Linked DNA regions of Oryctolagus cuniculus. The protein of the gene in region 3 interacts with the protein of the main gene of each other region in a biochemical or structural test. Links are inferred from orthologs where the notes say so. Each region holds a gene or a part of one and is shown on either strand. Other genes may lie near its edges. The genes, in order: EFEMP2, ELN and LOX.

Evidence for each region.
Region 1: the proteins of LOX (region 3) and EFEMP2 form a complex in vitro, tested with the Homo sapiens proteins (2 studies listed by IntAct, with this or other methods). The link is inferred for Oryctolagus cuniculus from reciprocal best matches to the Homo sapiens genes LOX and EFEMP2.
Region 2: the proteins of LOX (region 3) and ELN form a complex in vitro, tested with the Homo sapiens proteins (2 studies listed by BioGRID and IntAct). The link is inferred for Oryctolagus cuniculus from reciprocal best matches to the Homo sapiens genes LOX and ELN.

What each region holds. Positions count from the first base shown.
Region 1 is NC_091432.1:5,896,869-5,900,680, forward strand, and holds the start of EFEMP2 (EGF-containing fibulin-like extracellular matrix protein 2), read left to right. Parts: upstream 1-1,023; 5' UTR 1,024-1,195; intron 1,196-1,466; 5' UTR 1,467-1,467; coding exon 1,468-1,578; intron 1,579-1,794; coding exon 1,795-1,843; intron 1,844-2,333; coding exon 2,334-2,540; intron 2,541-2,988; coding exon 2,989-3,111; intron 3,112-3,410; coding exon 3,411-3,527; intron 3,528-3,643; coding exon 3,644-3,763; intron 3,764-3,812. UniProt on the Homo sapiens protein: Plays a crucial role in elastic fiber formation in tissue, and in the formation of ultrastructural connections between elastic laminae and smooth muscle cells in the aorta, therefore participates in terminal differentiation and maturation of smooth muscle cell (SMC) and in the mechanical properties and wall integrity maintenance of the aorta.
Region 2 is NC_091450.1:50,184,432-50,188,243, reverse strand, and holds the start of ELN (elastin), read left to right. Parts: upstream 1-1,437; 5' UTR 1,438-1,511; coding exon 1,512-1,596; intron 1,597-3,812. UniProt on the Homo sapiens protein: Major structural protein of tissues such as aorta and nuchal ligament, which must expand rapidly and recover completely.
Region 3 is NC_091437.1:11,784,023-11,787,834, forward strand, and holds the start of LOX (protein-lysine 6-oxidase), read right to left. Parts: upstream 2,377-3,812; 5' UTR 2,372-2,376; coding exon 1,777-2,371; intron 1,499-1,776; coding exon 1,390-1,498; intron 146-1,389; coding exon 8-145; intron 1-7. UniProt on the Homo sapiens protein: Responsible for the post-translational oxidative deamination of peptidyl lysine residues in precursors to fibrous collagen and elastin. Regulator of Ras expression. May play a role in tumor suppression. Plays a role in the aortic wall architecture.

The DNA.
Region 1 (3,812 bases), on a different chromosome or scaffold from region 3:
CGGGCTTTCTTGCCCCAGCCCCTGGGCAGGTGGTAGGAATGCATCAGCCTGAGCCCCACCGGGTCAGTTGGGGGCGATCGGGGGGTCAAGCAGGGATGGGGAAGGGACGGGAAGACCCGACTGTTCCCTCTCGCAGCCTGCGGGGTGCCGGGAGCCCTGCACACGCGGCCCTTTCCCGTCTGGCCCAGCCCTGAGACGTGGGCAGCGCGAAGCCCCGCCCCTTCCTGGGAGTCGAACCCTCCCGGGCTCCGCCCCGGCCACGCCCTCCGCTGGGGGAGGGGTCGGAAGCCGAGTGGGGGGCGCGGGCGAGAGGAGGGTCGCGAAGGCGTTGGCACCGGAGCCTGGCGTCCCTGGCCCCCGAGTGCACCCTGTCCCTGCTTCGCGGGGGCCTGCCATTCATTTGGGGCCAAAAGGGACCTGCGCCCCCGCCCCCGACCTCGGCTTGGAGGGCTGAGCGCGGGGGCGGGGGAGGCCGTGCAGGAGCGCAGGGACCACCTGGCGGGAGATGGCGGGGCGGGGGGGGGGGTAGAAGGGAGAGATGGGCAGCTCTGCTCCCGGGACCCGGGAGCGTCTCGTGCCGGGGCGAGGGTCGGGGGCCCGGGGTGAAGTTTTGGGGACGTCTGGAGTGACGGTCTGGGGGCACAGAATACAATTCTGGGGGGGTCGAGTGAGGGGATGGAGGCCCCAGGGCTGGGTGGGGCCTCGGATCCTACCTTCGGGGAGGCTCAGAATGAGGGTCTGGGGGTGCGGGACTGAGCAGTGGGTGCGCAGAAAGGAATTCTGCGCGCGTAGGTAGCAGCCAGGTGCGCGGGATGACGTTTCTGATGAGGGCCTGCCCCCCCCCCCGAGTGAGTCTGGGGGCTTGGCATCCAGGTCCATGGCACCACGATCGAGCGCTGGGGGACCCTGGCCCGGCGCCGGGAGGCGGCTCCGGGAGGCGCCGCGGGGGACCGGGCGGGGGCCTGCGGCCGCCGGCCGGGGGCGGAGAAGCGGGGGGTCGGGGTCCCTCCCCCTGGCGCGGGCTCAGGAATCCGCCGAAGGGCGGGCGGAGGCGCCGGGGTGGGCCGCACCGCGGCGGGCGGGCGGGCGGGGGGCGCTTCCTGGGGCCGCGCGTCCAGGGAGCTGCGCCGTCCGCCCGTCCGTCCGCCCGCAGGCACTGTTGGAGCCGCCGGAGCCGCGGGGGCGTCGCGGCCGAGTGAGTGGCGGCCCGTGGGAGGGGGGCGCGGGCCGGAGTCTCGGCAGAGTCGGCGGCCGCCGGGCCGAGAGGCCCGCACCGCCAGGGAACCGGGCGGGGGCGGAGTGGGCCCGGAACCCGGGCCTACGAAACGAGTGGGCCCCGGGTCCTGCGGGGCTGCAGGGCCCCAGGCTCGGACCTGAGCCGGAGCTGGCGGGGCCGGGGCCCGGTGCGGGGGGATGGGGCGGCCGTGGCAGAGGCCCCTGACCCGCCCGCCCCCTCCCGGCCGCAGGATGCTCCCCTTCGCCTCCTGCCTCCCTGGGTCTCTGCTGCTCTGGGCGCTGCTGCTGCTGCTCTTGGGGGCAGCGTCACCGCAGGACTCCGAGGAACCGGACAGCTACACGGTGGGGACAGCGGGGGCGGGTGGCCTACCACTGGGAGACCAGGGTCCCCGGAGGCTGTTCTTGGGGGAGATTCGCCCCCCCAGCCCGGCCGGTAGAGCAGCTGGGGGCCGTTGTTTGGAACAGACTGGGAGGGTGGCCCAGGCTCAGGCCCTGCTATTGGCCTGGCCAGTTGGAGGGGACCCTGGGTGACCACTGCAGCCTCCGGTTTCCTTCCAGGAATGCACCGATGGCTATGAGTGGGACCCAGACAGCCAGCACTGCCGGGGTGAGTGTGACAGGGGGACCAGCCCCCCAGGAGCAGGGACCAGAGCCCAGGGGGCCTGTGCTCTACCCAGCCCAGCAGGGCAGGGCGGCCCCTCCCTCTCCAAGAACCCCGGTAACCCTGTCCCCCCCCCCCGGGGTAGATGGGAGAGCCACTGGGGGAGCCCCGGAGCAGCTGGTCCCATGGAAGGCTTTGCCCCATCGCAACCTGGGAGGGCGGTGTCCACGGGGGGGGGGGGGGCTGCAGATCACTGCCCGGCTGAGCCAGGGCCAGGACCCCCTTGGAGGCAGCGTGGGGGCAGCAGTGGCAACCCCTTCCCCACTTCCAGCCTGTGGCGGGGCCGTGTGGAGGGGAGGGGTCCTGGGTACACCAGGCTGCCTCAGCTTGTGGAGCTCAGGGAGGGCCAAGCGGGCTCCTGCCTCGCCCCCCCCGCCCCGCCCGGGGCCGGCCCCCCTCCCGGGACCGGCTGTGCCGAGCAGGCCGCCTCCCGCAGATGTGAATGAGTGCCTGACCATCCCCGAGGCCTGCAAGGGCGAGATGAAGTGCATCAATCACTACGGGGGCTACCTGTGTCTGCCGCGCTCCGCTTCCGTCATCAACGACCTGCACGGCGAGGGCCCCCCGCCGCCTGTGCCCCCCGCTCAGCACCCCAACTCCTGCCCGCCAGGCTATGAGCCCGACGAACAGGAGAGCTGCGTGGGTGAGTCCCTCTGGGCCCGGGCGTCCCATGCTGTCGCCACGCTTCTCGCAACTTGGGCTCGCGTTCTTGCGTTGCTCCAAGCCCTTACTGATGGCTCCTGGGGGCCACCAGGGGCTGCCCGGCCCCTCATCCAGGCCCTCGCTGTGTCCGGGGCCAGTCCCAGGGGACCCTCCCCTCACGTGCTGCAGAGACCCTGCAGGAGCCTTGATCTGGACTGCACCCCTGGAAGCCGCGGGCCCTGGCGGGGGGTGTCCTGGGATCAGGGTCGCTGGGGGCTGAGGGTGTGGACAGAGCCTTGTCTCCTGCTGCCTCCCAGGCTGGTGGGCGGGTGGGAGGGGTCTCCTGTGCCCTCGTGGTGGCTTCTGGACTGCGTCCTCCCACGCTGGGTGCCTGCCTCGCCGGATGGCGTGAGCGACCCCAGGCGGAGGCTCAGGGGTGTCTGCTGCAGATGTGGACGAGTGTGCGCAGGCCTTGCACGACTGTCGGCCCAGCCAGGACTGCCACAACCTGCCTGGCTCGTACGAGTGCACCTGCCCGGATGGCTACCGCAAGATCGGGCCGGAGTGTGTGGGTGAGTGCGGCCAGCAGCCTGTCTGTTCCTGAGCCCCCAACTCCAGCCCACCCCCGGGCGTCACCCCAGCCCCCGGCCCCCTCTGCCTTCCTGCCATCAGACACAGAGGACTGCATGGACACCGTGTGTGTGCGCATGCGCATGTGTGTGTGTGTGTGTGCCTGTGCGTGCGTGCGTCCTCTGGCTGGCTGGCCCCGTCCAGCTGCCCAGAGACATCCGGGTCTGTGGGCAGTGAGGCCTCGAGTGGGGGCCCCACTGACTGGCGCCTTCCGCGGCCTCCCTCCCCGCCGCCGTCGCAGACGTTGACGAGTGCCGCTACCGCTACTGCCAGCACCGCTGTGTGAACCTGCCCGGCTCTTTCCGCTGCCAGTGCGAACCGGGCTTCCAGCTGGGGCCCAACAACCGCTCCTGTGTGGGTGAGGCTGGGCCAGGCCGGGCTCCTGGGGCCCCCGGGGCTGGGAGGTATGAGCTGGGGGAGCGCCCTTGGCGGCCAGCCCAGACTGCCCCTCTGCTTTTGTCCCGGCACCCCCAGATGTGAACGAGTGCGACATGGGCGCCCCGTGTGAGCAGCGCTGCTTCAACTCCTACGGGACCTTCCTGTGTCGCTGCCACCAGGGCTACGAGCTGCACCGCGACGGCTTCTCCTGCAGCGGTGAGCTCAGCCCTGCGCGGGCTCCCCCAGCGGCGGCCAGGGTGCCCCC
Region 2 (3,812 bases), on a different chromosome or scaffold from region 3:
CTTCTAGAAGATTCTAGAGACAGAATCGAGCTCTGGGTCAATGGCCTGCCATCGACCGCTCCACCCCCGGCCAGCCCCAGAGCTCCTGGTGTGTGTGTGTTGGGGGGGACATCGCACTCACCCCTCTGAGCCCACGGCTTCCATGGTCTTAACTGACCTCTCACTGGCCCAGCTTCTCTCCCGGCTCCCCTATTTCTGCCCCACTTGCAGAGGTGAGGAGAAACGGGACTCCCCAGCTCCACACCCCCCACATCTCCCCAAGCCCCTAGGGTCCCCATCTTGTCCCAGCTGCTCCTAGTGTGGCACCCAGGCTGAGAGTTCAGCTGGATCGCCATCTGGGCTGTCTCAGTGCAGGTCGCCCCCTCCTGGCCACTGGGGGAATGGCAGTCCCCCAGGCATTCCCAGGGAGAACAAGACATGTAGGGGCTCCCAGGCCTGGTCTGGGGCTCAGCCTTGCTGGAGACAGGTGGTGGCCAAGGGGCGAGGCGGGGCTGCCTGTCTGTCTGCACAGGGCTCCCACGTCCCTGGACTCACGGGTGTCTTGGGCTGCAGCCTGTGTGGCGCTGGCAACAGGGCCGACTTGGACTGTGCAGCTGAGCGTGTCAGGGTCCCCAGGTGCCCCAGGGGACAGCGTCAACACGGCCTGCACTCCCAGGTTTCTCCCCTGCCTGCAGCCCCTGGCCTGGGTGGACAATAGCCCCAACCTTCCCCCACCAGCACATCCCGTACCCTCCCCTGGACTTCAGGCAGGAACTCAGGCAGGACTTCATTTCATGCAGAATGGAGCCCCGGAGTGGGCCAGGGTCCCCCGGACCACCCTCCAGCTGCCCCCATCTCACCTTCCAGAACATTCTGCCCACAGCCCCTTTGACCTCCGCAGACCTTGGCACCGGACCCCTAGGCCTTGTCCGGTGCCGCCTCCTCCACCCCCACCCCCCACCCCACCCCAGCTCTGGGCAGGGCCCGTCTCTGGCCAGGCCTGGGGGTGCTGGGGAGTCTGGAGGCCTGGGGTGGGGGCGAGGCGCGGGACAGCTGGCCTGTGTCCCCACGCTGGGCCCGGGGCCCAGCCGGAGGGGCGGGGGCCTGGCCACTCAGGCCTTGGCTGGGGCCGGGATTTTTTGGCCGGGCTGCCTGGCCCTCCCTCCTGCTTCCTCTCTCCCCGAGGGTTGTCCTGGCAGAGGCCCCCTCACACTTTCTGGCGGGAACAGAGCCAGCCTCTAGAACAGGCACAGGGGAAGGAGATGGGGAAAGAGTGTGCGTGTGTGCGTGTGCGTGTGTGTGTGTGTGTATGTGTGTGTAGGGAAAAAGCCCTCAGCCCAGCCCAGGCAGGCCCAGCCCGGGAGGCTCGAGCCCGGCCCTTTCGTAACTGCCCCCTCCCCTGGCCCCCTCCCCCAGCCTCCCCCTCCTCCCGCCCCCCCCCCCCCCGCCCGCCCTCGCAGCCGACCAGGCGGCAGTTACGCTTTGGGGATAAAACGAGGCGTGGAGAGCAGGCTGGGGCATTTCTCCCAGAGATGGCGGGTGTGACGGCAGCGGCGGCCCCACGGCCCGGACTCCTGCTGCTCCTGCTGTCGCTTCTGCACCCCTCGCAGCCTGGAGGTAAGGGCCCCCCGCGTCCCCAGCCCCCTCGGCACCGCCGCTCCGCTGCGCGCCGCCCCCTGCCTGTCCCTGCCCCCGGTGTCTGTCCTCGCGAGCCCGCGGCTCCCTTAGCCAGGTGGCTGGACTGACGGAGCCAGTCTCTTGGCCCCTGGGGCTTCCAGGAGCCCCTCGGCCACCGGGTCCCCAGCGTTGCCCCTTGTACTGCAGAAGAACCTGTCAAGCAGAGACCCCCACAACCCAGGCTGGTCCCAACCGAGCGTCCAGGCTGTGCCACTCCGCTCTGGCCAAAACCCCCTCCCCATGGAGGGAGGGACCAGGACCCGCTGGGAAGAGCTTGGCGGGACCCCCCTCGCTCTGCAGGCACCAGCCGTTTGCACACCTGTGGACCCTGGGGACAAGGGACGTGGCTTTGAGACCACTCAGCCGCCCGCTGGGAGCTGTGTGACCTCAGCAGGTCCCTTGTCCCCCGGGAAGTCGGGCAGGATGACGTTGGTGATGGGATGCTGTGACCCCTGCATGCATGCATGCAAGTGACTGTGCGGATGAGTGTGCCGCGTGCTGTCGCACAGGTGTACATGTGCTCACACGTGTCACGGAGCAGTGAGGCGGGGTAGGGGCTCCTGGGAAGCTCTGCCTGTCACTCCTGAGCAGGTAGCCATGGTGGGGGCAGGGGGGGAGTCACACACACGTGGAAGGGCTGGTTCCAGGGCTGTCGCTGCACCTGTGAGTGTGCGCCTGTGAGATGGGCGCTCCCAGGGGCGGCGGGCAGCCGGGAAAGGGGTCCGCCTCCTGGCAGATGGAGTGCAGACAGTGGCAGGGGCTGCTGTGGGCCCCAGGGCACGGCTGGGCCATCTCGATGGGTCCTGACCCAGTGCCTCCAGGGGGCTACCGGCAGGGACCAGGTGAATCTGGCCGTGGGGAGAGAGAGCAGAGGGCGGCCTGGGTGGAGGCCCGTTCAGCAGACCTGGAGTCGGGGGGCTCTGGGGCTGCAGGGCGGAGCAGGGTGCGTCCCGTCCCCGGGCCCGGAGCCAGACGGCGGGCCGGGAGCAGCAGCTGCTTCTGTGACATTGTCCAGCCGGCTCGGCTGCTGGGAGCCGGAGCTTCCTTGTGCGGGGTCCACTCCTGGACCTGGATGGGGGGGGGGGCTGAGGGTTGCAGGCCAGTGCCCTCCCCCATGTCCAGGACAACCCCCAAACACCTGCTTGCCCCTGTCCCCAGACACTGCTGCCGCTGTGAGCCAGCAGCAAAGGGTCACAGGGACCCGAGACTTGGGAATTAGCATCTGCGTTTTCCAAGTGAGGAGACGGAGGCAGGCTGGGGGGAGCATCCACCAGCCCCATCTGCCGCGGCTAAACGGACATGGGCACTGGGGAGCCGGGTACGACACGCAGGGAAGGGCCGCCTCAAACCTGCGTCATTCTCCGTGAAGATAAACCTCAGCTCCACCCCGTGGGGCTGGATAAACTGGGCTTTAAATATGGGGCCAATGATTGGACGAGGGGGGGTCTGTGCACTGGGACTACCAATGTCCCATGAGGTCAAGGATGTTGGAGGGACCCTAATTACACACTCCCAGCCACCACCACCACCACCACCACCCCCCGCCCTAGCTGTCCTGGGGTCGGGGGAGTCCATACCTGGGGAAATCCGAGTAATTCTGACCCTGGCCATGTTCCCACCCCAAACCCTCACCCCGCAGAATTCCTGTTTGATTTGCGCTGGGGGGAGGGGATCCAGCATGGCTGCCCCGGTGATGGATGACCCGCCAGTGCCGACAAGCGCTGCTTTAGGGTTTGAACACCCTCCCCCTCCCTCCCCCACACCCCGGGCATCTGGCAGGAAAGCAAATATGCCACCCGACGTCGCTGGACGCACTGCTTTTGAAAAGTCTTTGGCAGGCTGTTCTCCATGCAAGCAACACACAGCTTATCTTGCCAAACTGGCCCCCTGGACACTGGCTGGGCAGAGCCGCTGCTGCTATGGCCCGCTGGCCCGCAGCGCCATCCCAAACATGCTTCTCCCAGGTCTTTGAAGTGGGAGCCCAGGGCCCCCAGGCAGAGAGAGGGACCTGCCTGTGACTGGGCTGAGCCGCAGGTCCCGAGCCAGGCGCTTCATCTCTCTGGCTGCAAACCTGAGCACCTCCAGGGGCCGGCGGAAGGTTCCAGCAATGTCACGCCTGCCAAAAATGCATCAAATCAGAGGACCGTGGGAATGCT
Region 3 (3,812 bases):
CACTTACTGGTGACAGCTGTGCCACTCCCAGGAGTATCTCGGTCGGCTTGGTAGGAAATCGGACGTGCCCTGGTTTTTCACTCGTTGGGGGAACCTGAGCAGCACCCTGTGGTCATAGTCTCGGACGTCTGCCCTGTACGCTGAACTGCGATTTTGAAAGCAGATATGGGGTCAGGGTCACAGCCTATGAGCTACAGACACAGAACCACAAACAAAGCCCACTGCCCGCTGTGACAGCCTCCCTGCCCCCAACAAACCTCGCCCATGGGCTCTGAGAGGCCGACTTGAGAATGAAACACAAGATAGAAATCCAGGCAGAACTTTAAAAAAGTGAAAACATAACAAAAGGAGCACTAAAAGCCTCTACGTGCGACGTGAACTGTATACGTAAAATCGGTTACCAACATGAAGAAGGGACACGGAAGCGCAAAGTCTGCCAAACGAAAACCCAAACCCAGACCTAACTAACGATTCAAACTGCAACCACACATTTCTTTTAAATTGTTAACTGAGATCTAAAACGGTGAAATAACTAAAAAAAGAAATGTTCAAGTTCGGATCACTAAATGTGGTAACTTTTAACCAGGGGACTGCACTGAAGTGACACCCTAAGGAGCTCGGTGATGTGAGTGATGCAAGACCCAGCAATGGACATGAACTTGAACTTCTTCCCTGGCTTTAGCCCCAGACCACAAAGGGCCAACGTGGAGGAAATGCACACAGGCCACGGTGTTCCCACTGCTGTCTTTCGTGTGCATCTGCTCAGCTCTCTCCACGGCTTTCTTTTCCACTGCACTTTCGCACGGCACCCACAGAAACGTGCATTGCTCCCTCTGCTGGCTTTTCAGCAACACAGGCCGAGAAGCCCCATCCAGAAAAGGCTGTTTTATTTTAGAACTGATGGGAAAACAAAGCTCTTGCTTCACGGTCTCCTTTTGGCTGCAGGAACAGCAAAACAACCAAGTTAACCGTGGCCTCAGACAAAAGAGGGAAAGTCAGCCCTTACCAATGAGGAGATGCCACAGTGGCAGATTTCGCCCCCACTCTCTCAAGCGCGCATTCCCAAGCTCTTGGTTTACCGTCCTGTTTCCTGCATTAGCACAGAGTCGTTTTACACTAGCTTATCGGAAACAGTCGGCTCCCAGGTTTAAGGATCTCGGAGAGAAAACAAAAGTAACATGGGGCTTCCAGTCTCCCAGATAAGCGTTCTCGCTGCGGTTGGAAAGGCAGGACGCAAAGAAATCAAAGCTTTAACTCTCCGTGCAGGAGGCCAGCATCTGCCCAAGAGGTCGCGTCCTGTCTGCAGGAACAGACCCCGTGGGGACCCGGCAGCAGCGGGGAACCCCGGCGTGGGGGGCAGGGCCGCCGAGACCCCAGCCCAGCCCGTACCTGGCCAGGCAGTTCTCCTCGGCGGCGCATCTCAGGTTGTACATGGACATCTTCTGCACGTACGTGGACGCCTGGATGTAGTAGGGGTCGGGCACCAGGTCCGGGAGACCTAGACGCCAGCAGGCGACAGAAACGCCGCGGTGAGGCAGGCCGGCGGACCCCCGGGGCGGCTCGGGTGCTCGCAGGTGCCTTACTCCACGCCGTGCGCCCGCGGGGGCTGCAGGGCGCGGCCGAGGGGGCGCGCGCGCGGGGCTGGGAAGCGAGGCGGAAAGGATGCCACAGGGGCCAGGCGCGAGGCGGAGGACCGCATCCGCGCGGCCCCGGGCCCGCCGCACCCAGCAGCCACGTCGAGGGCACGGCGCGGGGCCGGGGCGCGCGGGCGCTTACCGTACTGGAAGTAGCCGGTGCCGTAGCCGGGCCGGTACCTGCTCCCTGGCCGGGGCCTCTCGTACGTGTCGTAGTAGTTGTAATAGGGGTTGTCGTCCGAGTACTTGTAGGGGTTGTACGGGTCGTCGCCCACCATGCGGTCCACGTGGCTGGGCGGCCGCAGGTTACTGAGCGCCGGGGGCTCGCCCTGCGCCGTCCGGTTGCCAGCGCGCGAGGCGCCGGCGTCGCGGGCCCCAGGCGACGCGTAGCCGGCTTGGAACCAGTGGCGGCCGGCGGGCCGGGGGCGGCTGGCGGCGGCCGTGCGGTTGTCTCGCAGCAGCAGCACCGGCGTGCGCTGCTGCGGGCCGGCGGCGCGCTGGGCCCCCGGGGCGGCGGCGCCCGCGTCGCGACGGCGCTGAGGCTGGTACTGGGCGCCCAGGCTCAGCAGGCTGAACACCTGCCCGTTGTTCTCCCATTGGATCCTCTGGCGCCAGGCGCCCGGGGCGGCCGGCGGCTCGCGCGGGGGCTGCTGCTGGCCCGCAGCCTGCGGGGCGCCGCACACGAGCGCGCAGAGCTGCAGCGGCCCGAGCAGGAGCACCGTCCAGGAGCAGAGCATCGCTCCCTGCACGGGGTCGTCCCCAGGACGCGGCTCGGAGAAAACGGAAAATAAAACTAAAAAAAAAAAGAAAAAAAAAATGGGGGCTCAGATCACGTGCGGGAGGGGCGCTCTTCCACAGGGAGGGGGGCGCAGCGCGGGCCCCTCGGTCCCCGACCGAGCCGCGCCGAAGGGACGCCGCGGCCCCTGGAGCAGTCGAGGCGGCCGCCCGGACGTGGCGCGCGTGGCTCTCGCCTCCACCGGTCCCTCTGGAAGGCGGCGGGGAGCGCGCAGCGTCTGCAGCGGAGGAAGGAGGGGAGATTTTAAACTTTCTGGCACGTTTGCAAAGTTACACAAGCCGTCCTGGCGCGGCCGGCCCTCGGCGATTTGTTCACGTAATGCGATTGGAAACGTGCGCGGCGGACAGCTCCCCGCCCGCCCCGCGCGCCCGCGCGCCCGCCCCCAGACACGTTGCAGGGCGCGCGCGCTCGGGGAGAGCACGGAGCGCCGCGCGCGGCCCGGGACGCCCGGCTCTATCTGGGGCGAACATGCAGGAATTTCTGAAAGGCTCAGACAGGCGACGGCAGCCAGGCGGTGGGCCGCCGCCAAAGTATGCACGGAGAAAAATGCTATGAGGTCACCGGGCCTGGCGAGGCGGGGAGAGCGCGGGCGGCCGCCGGGAACTCGCGCGCGTCCGGAGCGGGGTCCGGCCCGGCCGCCCCGCGCGCACTCGCCTGCCCTGGTGGGCGGCGCCCTCTTCCAATCCACCCCTGGATATCGAATTCTGTTTTTCGGAGTGTGGGTAACATGAGAAACGGGTGACAAATCTGTTTCCTACGGCGACTATTTTAATAACCCAAAGCGAGATTTTTTTTTTTAACAGGGAACAAAGCCTGGCAGCGCCAAGACTATGCAGAACCCCAACTCCCCGCCAAAAAATGAGGGCCGGGGGTGCGCTTGGAGCTGGCGTGAGCGCCGGCTTTTCTCCGTGGGGCCTGCCGGGAAGGCTCCGGAAGGGGAGAGCCGCAGGCTGCACCCCCCCCCCCCCCCCGAGCCCTGATAAGGCTTGACGTGGGATTCTGGACACTTGAGTCGCCACTGGTGCTTCCTGGGAGTGGGTGTAGGCGTCCCCCGGAGAGGGACTGGTCCTCCAGGCCCCGTGGAGGGGTTGCGTGGAGTTCTGATGGCAGCCCAGAGCAGCCAGCAGGAGTGGCAGGGGGCCTCGCTTACCCTGAGAAGTGAGGCTTGGCGCTCCAGCCGGCGTTCACACCCCCCAGGGGCCGGCCCGCGCAGTTTCAAAGAAACTGGTACAGAAGGGCACAGTGTAAAACTACCGCCCCAAACCGGCCTTGGAGAGAACCAGCCTGCTCAGCGCTCTCTTCACGGAGCTGCTGTGGACACAGGTGCACGCATATTCACCTGTCTCTGTTATGCTGGGTCTTGCATACTTGGCGACCACGTT